3 linked regions of the Xenopus tropicalis genome follow. The protein of the gene in region 1 purifies or fractionates together with the protein of each later gene. This does not show direct contact. Links are inferred from orthologs where the notes say so. Each region holds a gene or a part of one and is shown in the gene's direction. Other genes may lie near its edges. The genes, in order: atxn2, lsm12 and pabpc4.

Region 1 (3,653 bases):
TATATATATATATATATATATATATATATATATATATATATATAATATTATATATAAATATATATAATATTATATATAAATATATATAATATTATATATAAATATATATAATATTATATATAAATATATATAATATTATATATAAATATATATAATATTATATATAAATATATATAATATTATATTTTATATTATATTTTTATATATATATATAAATATATATAATATTATATATAAATATATATAATATTATATATAAATATATATAATATTATATATAAATATATATAATATTATATTTTATATTATATTTTTATATATATATAAATATATATAATATTATATTTTATATTATATTTTTATATATATATATTATATTTTTCTATGATGGTTTTGTAGAGAAAACAAGTACATTCCACCAGTGCAGAGGAATAAAGATGCCATGTTATGGACAACTCACAGTGGGAGGCAAACTTCTGCAAGGATTGGACAGTCTGGATCAGGGCCCATTCCTTCAAGGACAGGATCCCATTCTTCTGACTACAGCCCCAATGCTGGAGCTGATCAGAGAGTCATAAATGGAGGCAAGTAATTCATTAGCTGATCAAGGTTTTTAAAAAATATTTTTTAGTACATTTACAAATGTACTGTTTAAGTAGTATACTGTTGAATGGTAAGTGTTTTTATTTAGGGTGGTAGCTATAACATGATTTGATATGCTATTTCCTTTTGATTTAAGAAATACATACACATGCTGGTCTTCCCTAGGAAGAAAGTGGCATTGAAAGTTAAACTAAAAGGGGAGAAAGTAATTGAAAAAGGGTCAATTTAAAGTAACCTTTTGTGTAAATTAATGTACATTTTATCTTAATTATGGTGCATAAACTGTGTGAAATATGAGTCTTTTTGTAGCATAAAATATCTTTTGCTTCTCTTAAGACGTGCGAGAAACCATTTCCCCTCTGTTGTATTTTACTTTTTTTCTGTTGACTTGTTCCCTACCCCTTCATCTCATTATTTTTTTTTTTACTTTCTTTTATTATTACTTTTCCTTCATCTCATTTGTTCTGTCAGGTGTTCCCTGGCCATCGCCTTGTCCATCTCCTTCTTCCCGCCCACCTTCTCGCTACCAGTCAGGTCCCAACTCTCTTCCACCTCGGGCAGCCACCCCTACAAGGCCGCCCTCCAGGCCCCCTTCGCGGCCATCCAGGCCCCCGTCTCACCCCTCTGCTCATGGTTCTCCAGCTCCTGTCTCTACTATGCCTAAACGCATGTCTTCAGAAGGTACAACACCTCTGTTTTATTTTTTTTATTTTTTTCCCCTTTGTATTGTCAGTTCCATCATGCCTACAGCATAGGGAAACCATGTCTTCCATCTATAAGATGAGAGCATGATAGGTCTAGATTCATGCTGTTGTGATGGGTAAATATCAAAACATTTATAATCCCATTTCATCTTCTCCTTTGGTTTTCTGTGGCTCTTTTTGACAACCCTTAATTTTTGAGCCAAAAATGGCTTTAAAACTAAAATGCAAAATGTAAGGCATGTTTCATCCAATTACCTTAAAGGGATACTGACTGAATTTTTATTTTTATTTATTTTTTTTAAATTAGAATTTTGCCGTAAAATTGTTTTCCTACTGCTTTTTCATTACTAATCAGATTCCCCTCCCTCCCACATTTCTGTATTAGGGGCTGCCATATTAATGCTCAGGAGTCCGTTAGCATTAGAAGCTATAACTGACAGGCTGAGAAGGGACAGTCAGGTTTAGGAACGTCAAGTAGCCATTAATTACAAAAGCAAATCTATCGGTGAAAAATGATCAAAATGACCCATAGGTAACTTTAAATGTACATTAATTTTTTGAAGTCTAGTTTTTTAGTGTCAGTATCACTTTAAAAAAAAAAAAAAAATAGCAGTACCTGGAATTTAAGAGGTTTTTTTTTTTTGTTTTTTTTTTAAAAGAAACCTTATCTGCAATTTGTTGTTGTTTGGTTTTTTTTATTAATTTTTCCTCCTGTTTAAGGCTTCCATTTGTTGTATTTTCCTTATAAATAAGCATGGTCCCAGACCATGCTTATTTATAAGGAAGAACATGATTTTGGGCTCATACACAAGAAAATGCCATAGGCAGCATATTTCTTGTTGAAGTGGCTGTTGGCAGCTACAGGCATTTGAAGTTGTGTGTTTTTTTTTTTTTTTTTTTTTTTTTTTTTGTTTTTCTTGAGGGGACAATCTTACAAATATGCAATTGGCCTAAATTGGTAAGAAATCCTCTATTTTTCTGTGGTGCTACACACAGAAAAGTGGATATCCTACAGTGGCCCAGTCCAAGCTCTGATGTCGAGCATCATCTGACTTACATGCACAGTCTGGTCCAAATTGCAAAGCTGTCCCAAAATATGACCTGACGGTCTGTACAGACGGCTGTATGTAGGTAATTTTTTTTTATTCTACCTGTAGTTATTAGAGAATTTTACTGACTTTGGACTTGCTTGCTGTAATCTCATCCCCCACCTTTTGTCTTTAGCATATGGCTAAATGGCTCCTATTTTAGTTATAGCTGTGTTTTGATTGTCATATATACATTCCTTGTCAATAAGCCTCACCTCCCATTTTGAAAAAACCTAATAAAAATTTATGAATAAAATATGGTTAAGCTTAGTAACTTAATGTAAGTCATATGACTTTAAGTTATTAAGCTTAACCATATTTTATTCATTCATTTTGTCTTGCTTTGAGTATACAGCATAACGAATCCTTCAAAAACTATGCAAAGCGCTCTCGGGAGGCCAGGGCCATTCACAAAAACAATAATGTAGGCGATTGGGAGGCATCATTTATTGACCCAGCCACCTACAGCTGCTGTGCTGTATTGCTTTGCCTTTAATTTCCCTGACAATTGCCTTTATAAATAGTTGCCAGGGCAATGCATAATATGCTATGTAGGTACTTGTTTGTGCACTTTTAAATTGTGCATAGTTCTATTAGATAACAGAGTTGCTTTAAAGGTGTCCTTCTTGTAAAAGGCAAAATGTTAAAATGTGGTTACTTAATACTTCAGGTCACAGATCACAATCTCAGTTTAAGATTTGTTCCTTAAAATTAGACTGACAGACTAAGGTGTATGTTTAATGCATATATATTATTACACCCAGCCCCACTTCTTCTTTTTTTTTTTTTTGCTTTTTAAACAAAACAAAAAATCTAACACTGTATAAACATTCTTATAAATAAGCAGCTGACTGCACTCCTTTCTCATATTAGTAGTCTGTCTGGACTGTGTATGGGCCCAAAACAATGTTATCAAGTGCAACTGATTAGTTGAGGACAGCTTTGGCCTATAGATAAAGTTTGCATCCAGTGGGACTGCACAGGTCCTCCCCCACCTCTATTCAGTCTGATTTGTCCATCCAGCATGGGCAGACTCGGTTCAGTTGGCAGCACTGTGAAGTAACAGCCAGTGTTCAGTGGCTAATGTCACTGGTGACTGGCACGTTTGGTCTAGAATAGTGGTAATTGTAGGGGGAATTCTGCAGGGTACTTTAAAGCCTTTTAATGTTTTGCATGTAAATCTTGTTTGCCTCCATTCCTGTAGAAGTTAGTGAACTGCAAGCAATAAAGAAATCTTTGATAATGTTGATGTCTGCAA
Region 2 (4,306 bases), on another chromosome or scaffold:
CATACTACTAAAAAGTATAGTTATGTAAAAATGGTTTATTTAAATGAAACAGGGTTTTACATAGGGGCTGGTTTATGCACTATATTTTATAGAGACCTACAGTACATTGTTCTGGGTATAGTTTTCCTTTAAAGGAGAAGAAAAGGTAAAATCACCAGGGGTTGTCAAATGTCAGGTACCACCCAGTGATTATAATCACTTACCTGGTATGATACCCTGGGCTGTTGCTCCTGTCAGCAGAAAACTGCACGCGTCTCTGAGTGAAGTGATCTTTTTCTTGATTCTTCCTTCTTTGTGTCATGTGTGTGTGTGCAGTTGATAATAAGTCAAACTTTAAGCAAAAAGTCTGCTTTTTGACCCCACTGGGCATGTGTTGACCCAGGGCTATTGAAGAATCAAGAAGAAAAAAGATGATTGCTCTGTGGTGCTCACTCAGAAGTACCAAGTGTCAGTGTAGTTTTCTGCCAACAGGAGCACTGGCCTGGGTATCAGGTGATTAAAATCACTGGGTGGGGGTACCTGACATTTCCTTCTCCTTTGAATTACTATTATATGCCCAACGTAAATTCTGGACTCCTTGTATTCACTATGGTCTTTACACAGACAGGGCAATGATGTATAGGTGGCATTTTATTCATTTCATGGTTTACTTTTGTGAAATTTATATCTGAACAGCAGTCTGTGGTGTTATCTTAGCATGATACAGTGGGCCTGGGCTGCATGGTCTGCTTTCTCCAATGTGGCATTTTATTCTCTGCTCACCAATGGCTCCCAAGTAGGAGTGGGGATTTACAGTATATGCAGGGCAGGGAGATGGAGGTGGGAAGGGGGCACCGGGCCCAATTTGTTCCCAATGTTATTCATTTTTACTACAAAGTTTGTACAAATTTGGTACAGTTTTACCAATGATAAAGAGATAGTGACAATTAAAGAGAAAAAAAAAACAGTTGAAATGCCATCCTGAATTTCAGCAGTATAGTAATACATTTCCTGGCCAGGCTTACCGATACCGATGTTATTCATTTTTACTATAAAGCTTGTACATATTGGTACAGTCTTTGCAAAGAGAGAGAAATGATTACAATGTCTTTCTTTAAAGCACTGGAATTTCAGCAGTACAGTGGCCTAGCCAGGGTTTTAGTGGAAAGCAGGCTGCACCTTAACTATCAGCAACTCAAACTGTATATATGTGTCTCAGAGAATTCAAACAGTACTGCTTTTAATTGCAGTTAAGTTTATAAACATTTTACTGCGTTATCAAGCGATTCAATCGCTTTGACAAGGTAACGTTTTTCCAATTACGGCGAAGGTCAACGTTTATGAATTTTATTAGCGTATCAATTCCCCTTTCAAGATGGAGGCAACAACCTACTCCTTTGTGGGCGTGGTAATGCCAAATCCTCTATTAACATGAAGACGCCCCACCAAAGATGGACGGAAATAGCGTGCTCTTTGGTAGGCGTGGTAACGCCGCGTCTCCTAGGCGATTTCCCAGCAGGCCAGAGTTTGACGCTGGCTTTTTAAGAATACGTGCTGAGGTCGTGTTGCTGTAGCACGTTACGCAGGCCGGCTGGAAGATGGCGGGTCCGGGGGAATACTTCGCCATTGGCGCCTATGTTTCATGCCGGACCTGCCAAGAGACGAGACTGCAGGGCGAGGTGGTTGCCTTTGACTACCCAAGCAAAATGCTGGCGCTCAGTATCCTTTATAGCGAGAAAGCGACGGATAATGTATAGGGAGCTAATCGGTGGGGGATGGGTACGAAGTGGGGGGAAGGGAGGGGCTGCCGAGAAAATGGAGTGAGGGAGCGGAAGGTTATGAAGGGGGAAAGGTGAGTGGGCTAGGAGAGACTGACAGGTGCTGGCTATTACATCGTATAATACGTATGGCAGTCCGCTGGCCCGATGGGAGAAGGGGAAGCGAGCGGTGGGGTTTGAATGGAGGAGGCGAGAGTGGGCTGTTTATGGGGACTCGGCATGTTTCTCTGGGAGGCGGAAGTAAGGCTGTCGGGGTGGCCTTGAAGGGTATAAGGGATGCTGGGGTGGGGGTTCTTATCAGGTGTTTGTGAGGGGATTGGGTGGGATGGGTGCTAGGTGTGGGCAGGGGATTTCAGTTTGTATGGAGAGTTGCCTGTGGGTGAGTAGGTATCACTGTGTCTGGGTGTAGGTGGTGTTTGTGGGTGGTGCTGTGTGACTGGGGGGCTTACTTGGCTGGCCGTTTCTTGTTTACTGGGTAGCAGTTGTTCTGGGGGGGTGTTTGGGGTATCGTGCTTTCAAAACGTGGTTTGAGGTGAGTCAGGGTGGGCAGTTCATGAGCTAGCATGTATGAGGTTGTGAGTAATATACGGTACACTGCAATGGCAGTCTAGCTAGTTACTATAGGGGGTTCACTGCTGCTCCAGTTGGCATTGATTGGAACATGCTGTTGTTGCATGTTCTAGGGGGATAGGTGATATGTTGGGGTTGGTCAGTTTGACAGCCTGATGTGCGAGTTGGGGTCAGATGTGACCAGAATTTAAACCCAGTCTCTGAACTGCTTCTGTGGTGAAAGCACACAAGAGGGGATTGGCATGGAGAAAATGATCAGTGCAGCATCTTTGCCCCATAAGCAGAATATTTAGAATTGCTTCCAGCATGAAAATACTACCAGGATACTTTGCTGGGTCCTGAAAGATCCTATGCCGGACACACTAACTTGTAGGCCAAGGTCCAATGGATGAGAATGCAGATCTTAACAGGTTCTTGATAGTTTTTGGGATGTATAAGGGTGAAGACACACTGAACTACTTAATAGCAGTTACTTGTCATGGCTACAAAACTCCAGAAAACAACCTGCCATAGACAATACTGAGAATTGCCTGTGCTAAAACACACACAGATAATTATCAGTAAACAATCAGCATTGTCTGTTAGTAGCCACGACAAGTAGCTGCTACTAGTATTTTCACCCTAAGGGCTGTGACAGTCGCCGCACGACAAATCTCCCCGAAATGCCATCCCATCGCCGGTGGGATGGCATACGTGACACGGTGATTTGCCAAAGTTGCCTTGAGAGGAAACTTCGGCGATTTCGGTGTTGCGTATGCCATCCCACCAGAAATTTACATTCTAGCCGGTGGGATGGCATTTTGGGGAGATTAGTCGCCTGCAACAAATCTCCCCGAAATGCCATCCCACTGGGAGTAGATGTATAATTCCGGGGGGGTGGCATACGCGGCACCTTGAGAGGAAACTTCCGTGATTTTGGGGAAATCGCAGCGCCACGTGTGCCATCCCGCTGGCGATTTACATTTTCGCCCGGTAGGATGGCATTTCGAGGGAGATCAGTCGTGCGGCACAACTAATCTTCCCGTGTGCCACAGTTCTAAAGGTCTCCCATACACAGGCCGATTATAGCTGCCGATAACGGTCCCTTGGACCGATTCGACAGCTTATCGGCCCGTGTAGGGGCAGAACTGAGGGGCCTGGCCGACCGATATCTGGCCTGAAATTGGCCAGATATCGATCTGCCAGGTAAGAAAATCCAGTCGGATCGGGGACTGGGTCGGCTTGTTGATGCGGTCCCCAAACCCACTGCCCCATTGCCGCATGTAGAATTCGATTGTTTGGCCCCAGGGCCAAACGATCGAATTTGCCTACATGCCTCCCCGATATCGCCCACCCGTAGGTGGGGATATCGGGTGAAGATCCGCTCGCTTGGCGACATCGCCAAGCGAGCGGATCTGCCCGTGTATGGCCAGCTTTAGGCTTCTCCAAATCTAAACTGTTTAACCCAAGGGATGCTGGTATGACTAGGGGATATGTAAATGACTGTGAGTATGAAAGGTGAGCTGTTTAGGAGTGAAATCAGGTGATTGTGCTGACTAGAGGTGGATTTATTGTTCCCTAAAGGTGGCCATACACGCACCGATATTATCGTACGAAACCTCGTTTCGTACGATAATCGGTGTGTGTATGGCATGTCGGCGAGTCGACCGATATCGCAGGAAGCTGCCGATATCGGACGACTCGCCGATCGGACAAGTTTGAAAATTTTGATCGGGCGCCATAGAAGGCGCCTGACCAAAATTCTCCCTTCAGAGCTGAATCGGCAGAAGGAGGTAGAAATCCTATTGTTTCTACCTCCTTACCTGCCGATTCAGCCCTGAATGGTGTGTGGCGGATCTTACGATGTTTCGTGCGACCGATGGTCGTACGAAACATCGTCGGATCGCCACGTGTATGGCCACCTTTAGTCTCCTGATAAATAGCTGATTTTGCTATGATGTTTCACCCCTAAACAGCTCACCATTCATGCATTTGAACCA
Region 3 (3,653 bases), on another chromosome or scaffold:
TGTAAAGTTAGCAAATGAATTTGTCTTTTATATCAACCTCTACACTGTGTTGCATTAATGCATAAGGCTGGAACAATAACAGGAGGCACACGGTTATCCCTGATGCTGTTTTTTGTTTGTATTTTATTAAAGCATCATGTACTGCAGTACACTGCAGTTTAGGCTGAGCTAATCTCAGTTTTCAAATATAGACACAGATGCTTCTCTGAATTGAGCTGAGAGCTTTGACTGAGCCTTTTGTATCTCAATCACTTTTTTTGTTGTTATCTAGTAATGATTATAAAAACGTATTCCCAAAATGTAGTAGGCTGTAAAATTATTTTGTTGTGAGGCCCAGTAACTTGTATGCCACTGTTGGTAGAATGTTGGTAGAATGTTGGTAGAATCATGCTGATTTTTATCAGCAGATGCTTGGCTACAGAAGGAAAACTTAAGCTGGCCTGTATGGCAAGTCGGCGAATCGACAGATATCGCAGGAGGCTGCTGATATCGGTCGACACACTGATCGTGCAGTTAAAAGATTTTGATTGGGCGCCATAGAAGGTGCCTGAGCAAAATCTGCCTTCAGGGCTGAATCGGCAGAAGGAGGTAGAAATCCTATTGTTTCTACCTCCTTATCTGCCGTTTCAGCCCTGAATGTTAGTGGCGGATTGAACGATCGTTCGTGCAACCGATGGTCGCACGAAAGATCGCAAATCGCCACGTGTGTGGCCACCTTTATTCAAGATACAGTCATATACGGCAAGATAACCTAGTTCTGTTTAAAAAAAAACAAAAAAAACAGGCTAAATTAGAACTGGAGCTGTTCAACAATTAAAAGGTAAAGGGCAGATTTATCAAAATGTGACTTTAGATCAGGGGTCCTCAAGCTTTTTAAGGAGAGGGCCAGTTCATGGTCCCACAGACTGTTGGGGGGCCGGAATAAAGTCCTCCCCCCGTGTCCTCATACTACGGTCCGCTCCCCCATGCGTCCTCGCGTCAGATCATAATGGGGGCCGGGTAAATTACCTTGGGGGGCCGTAGTTTGAGGATGCCTGCTTTAGCTCTTAATACATAAACTCAATCATGTTATATTCTTTCCTATGGGATTTTTAGAAGTGTATTTATCAATGGGTATTGGACCCTTTATCCAGAAAGTTCCGAATTACGGAAAGCCAACTCCCATAGACTCCATTTTGATCAAATAATTCACATTTTTAAAAATGATTTCCTTTTTCTCTGAATAATAAAACAGTACCTTGTACTTGATCCCAACTAAGGTATAATTTATCCTTATTGGAGGCAAAACAATCCTATTGGATTTAATTACTGTTTAAATATTTTTTTTTTAGCATACTTTAGGTAGGAGATATGAATTACGGAAAGACCCCTTATCTGGGAAAACTCCAGGTCCTGAGCATTCTGGATAATGAGTTCCATACCTGTACTAGTTAAAAACGTTAACATAAAAAAAACAAACAGATTTTAAGTTGGGTATTCCTTTGCTCATGGACTTTAGTACGCTTAAAAAGTGTCTAGATTTCTTCATAAAGCACTGAAAACTCACTCTTTCTGCTGTGCAGTGCAGAGAAAGGAAACAAAGTGCTAGAGAAACGCAGAGGAAATCCAGACGGAGCATGTTTTTAACTTTATGTTCTGTCCCTACACCTCAGCCACATGCAGCTGTGTTGCTTTTAAAATCTAATGAACAAATGTGCTTTTACAACTGTGATTATCTGGCTTTAAAGGAACAGTAACACCAAAAAATGTATATATTTCAAAGAAATTAAACTATAATGTACTGCTGCCCTGCACTGGTAAAAGTTTTGTGTTTGCTTCAGAAACACTACTAGAGTTTATATAAACCCTGGTGTGTAGCCATGGGGGCAGCCATTCAAAAGAAGAAAAGGCACAGGTTATATAGCAGCTAACAGATAAACCCTGTAGAATACAATGGTGTCTTATCTGTTATCTGCTATGTAACCTGTGCCTTTTCTCCTTTTTTCCAGTTTGAATGGCTGCCCCCATGGCTACACAGCAGTTTATTTATATAAACTATAGTAGTGTTCCTGAAGCAAACAGCCCAGTTTTACCAGTGCAGGGCCACGGTACATTATATTTCAATTACTTTAAAACACTTTCATTTTTTGGTGTTACTGTTCCTTTAAGCAAATGATCCTTCTGCTAACATTCAAAGCCCTCCACTCCTCTGCTCCTCACTACATTTCTTCACTTTAATTTCCCCTTTATTTGTTTGCAGAAAAATAAACCTGGCCTTGCAAGCTGCCAATTTGGCCCCTTTAGACTGGGTCTGCAGGTTTTCCGCCCGTGTATTATACCCTCCATTAAAAATCAACTGGATATCAATTAGAAAGGTTTTAAAATCCCCTAGAATGGGAACTGTATTGGGGCATTGATGCCGACCACTCCCAAAGGGCCTGTTATGATCTGATGTGTGACCTGGGAGCCAAACAATTGGATTGGCCCGATTTGGTCAAGAACGTACGTGGCCAAATTGAGCAAAGATGTGCTGGTTTGGTAAGGTTGTCATGTATGCCACCATAGTGGGTTAGTAATTTTGATTTGAAGATAGATTGTTACTGTTTTGGGGTTCTGCAGACTGACTGAGGTGATTTTGTTTGAACCACTGGGAGAACACAGAGCAGATATGATAGTGTTGTATTTTCTTTGCAGCTGAACGTGCTTTGGATACTATGAATTTTGATGTTATTAAAGGAAAACCCATACGTATTATGTGGTCTCAGCGGGACCCGTCCTTGAGGAAATCTGGAGTTGGCAATGTTTTCATAAAGAACCTAGACAAATCAATTGACAATAAAGCACTATATGACACTTTTTCTGCATTTGGAAATATCCTTTCTTGTAAGGTGAGATTTTTTCCACCTTTCCACCCTTCATGTGCTCCCTTATTAAAAGGGTATTAAAGACTTTCTCTTTTGTAGGTAGTGTGTGATGAGAATGGTTCCAAGGGTTATGCTTTTGTGCACTTTGAGACTCAGGATGCTGCAGATCGAGCCATAGAAAAGATGAATGGCATGCTGCTCAACGACCGCAAAGTGTGAGAGGCACTATATTCAGGGTGTGAGCAAAGCAAATGGCTGTGTACTGGATTGGGGAAGAATATTTATTTAAAGGGAAGATAGACAGATTTGCATTTATTTATGGGGGGAAAAAATTGGGATTTAAAAAAGTAAAACATTTGGAAAGGTATGTGTATTAACAAAGAGGGTAAATTGTAAATGGGAAATCTGGAAGGAGGGTAGTATATTCAGGGTGTGAGTGAAGCAAATGGCGTTGTACTGGATTGGGGCACAATATTTATTGAAAGGAAATATAGACAGATTTTGCATGGGGAACAAAATTGAGACGTAAAAAAAAATTTATGGATGGGTATGTGCATTAGCAAAGAGGGTAGGTTGTAAATGGGAAATCGGGGAGGTGTGTACAAGAGAAGGTTTTAAAGGAAGTGTTTTCCCTTGCAGGTTCGTTGGGAGGTTTAAATGCCGTAGAGAACGAGAAGCAGAGCTTGGAGCCAAAGCCAAGGAGTTCACAAATGTTTATATCAAAAATTTTGGAGAAGACATGGATGATGAACGGTTAAAGGAGACATTTAGCAAATATGGTAACTGTGTGAGATCGCTTATTTCTACTTT

What was found.
Region 2: the proteins of atxn2 (region 1) and lsm12 purify together in Homo sapiens (affinity purification with mass spectrometry; 4 studies listed by BioGRID and IntAct, with this or other methods). This does not show direct contact. The link is inferred for Xenopus tropicalis from reciprocal best matches to the Homo sapiens genes ATXN2 and LSM12.
Region 3: the proteins of atxn2 (region 1) and pabpc4 purify together in Homo sapiens (affinity purification with mass spectrometry; 4 studies listed by BioGRID and IntAct, with this or other methods). This does not show direct contact. The link is inferred for Xenopus tropicalis from reciprocal best matches to the Homo sapiens genes ATXN2 and PABPC4.

The regions. Positions count from the first base shown.
Region 1 is NC_030677.2:163,120,834-163,124,486, forward strand, and holds part of atxn2 (ataxin-2), read left to right. Parts: intron 1-399; coding exon 400-584; intron 585-1,074; coding exon 1,075-1,284; intron 1,285-3,653. UniProt on the Homo sapiens protein: Involved in EGFR trafficking, acting as negative regulator of endocytic EGFR internalization at the plasma membrane.
Region 2 is NC_030686.2:18,356,885-18,361,190, reverse strand, and holds the start of lsm12 (protein LSM12 homolog), read left to right. Parts: upstream 1-1,460; 5' UTR 1,461-1,577; coding exon 1,578-1,698; intron 1,699-4,306. UniProt on the Homo sapiens protein: Nicotinic acid adenine dinucleotide phosphate (NAADP) binding protein. Confers NAADP sensitivity to the two pore channel complex (TPCs) by acting as TPC accessory protein necessary for NAADP-evoked Ca(2+) release.
Region 3 is NC_030678.2:91,027,759-91,031,411, forward strand, and holds part of pabpc4 (polyadenylate-binding protein 4), read left to right. Parts: intron 1-1,531; exon of another isoform or gene 1,532-1,660; intron 1,661-2,673; coding exon 2,674-2,867; intron 2,868-2,942; coding exon 2,943-3,058; intron 3,059-3,482; coding exon 3,483-3,622; intron 3,623-3,653.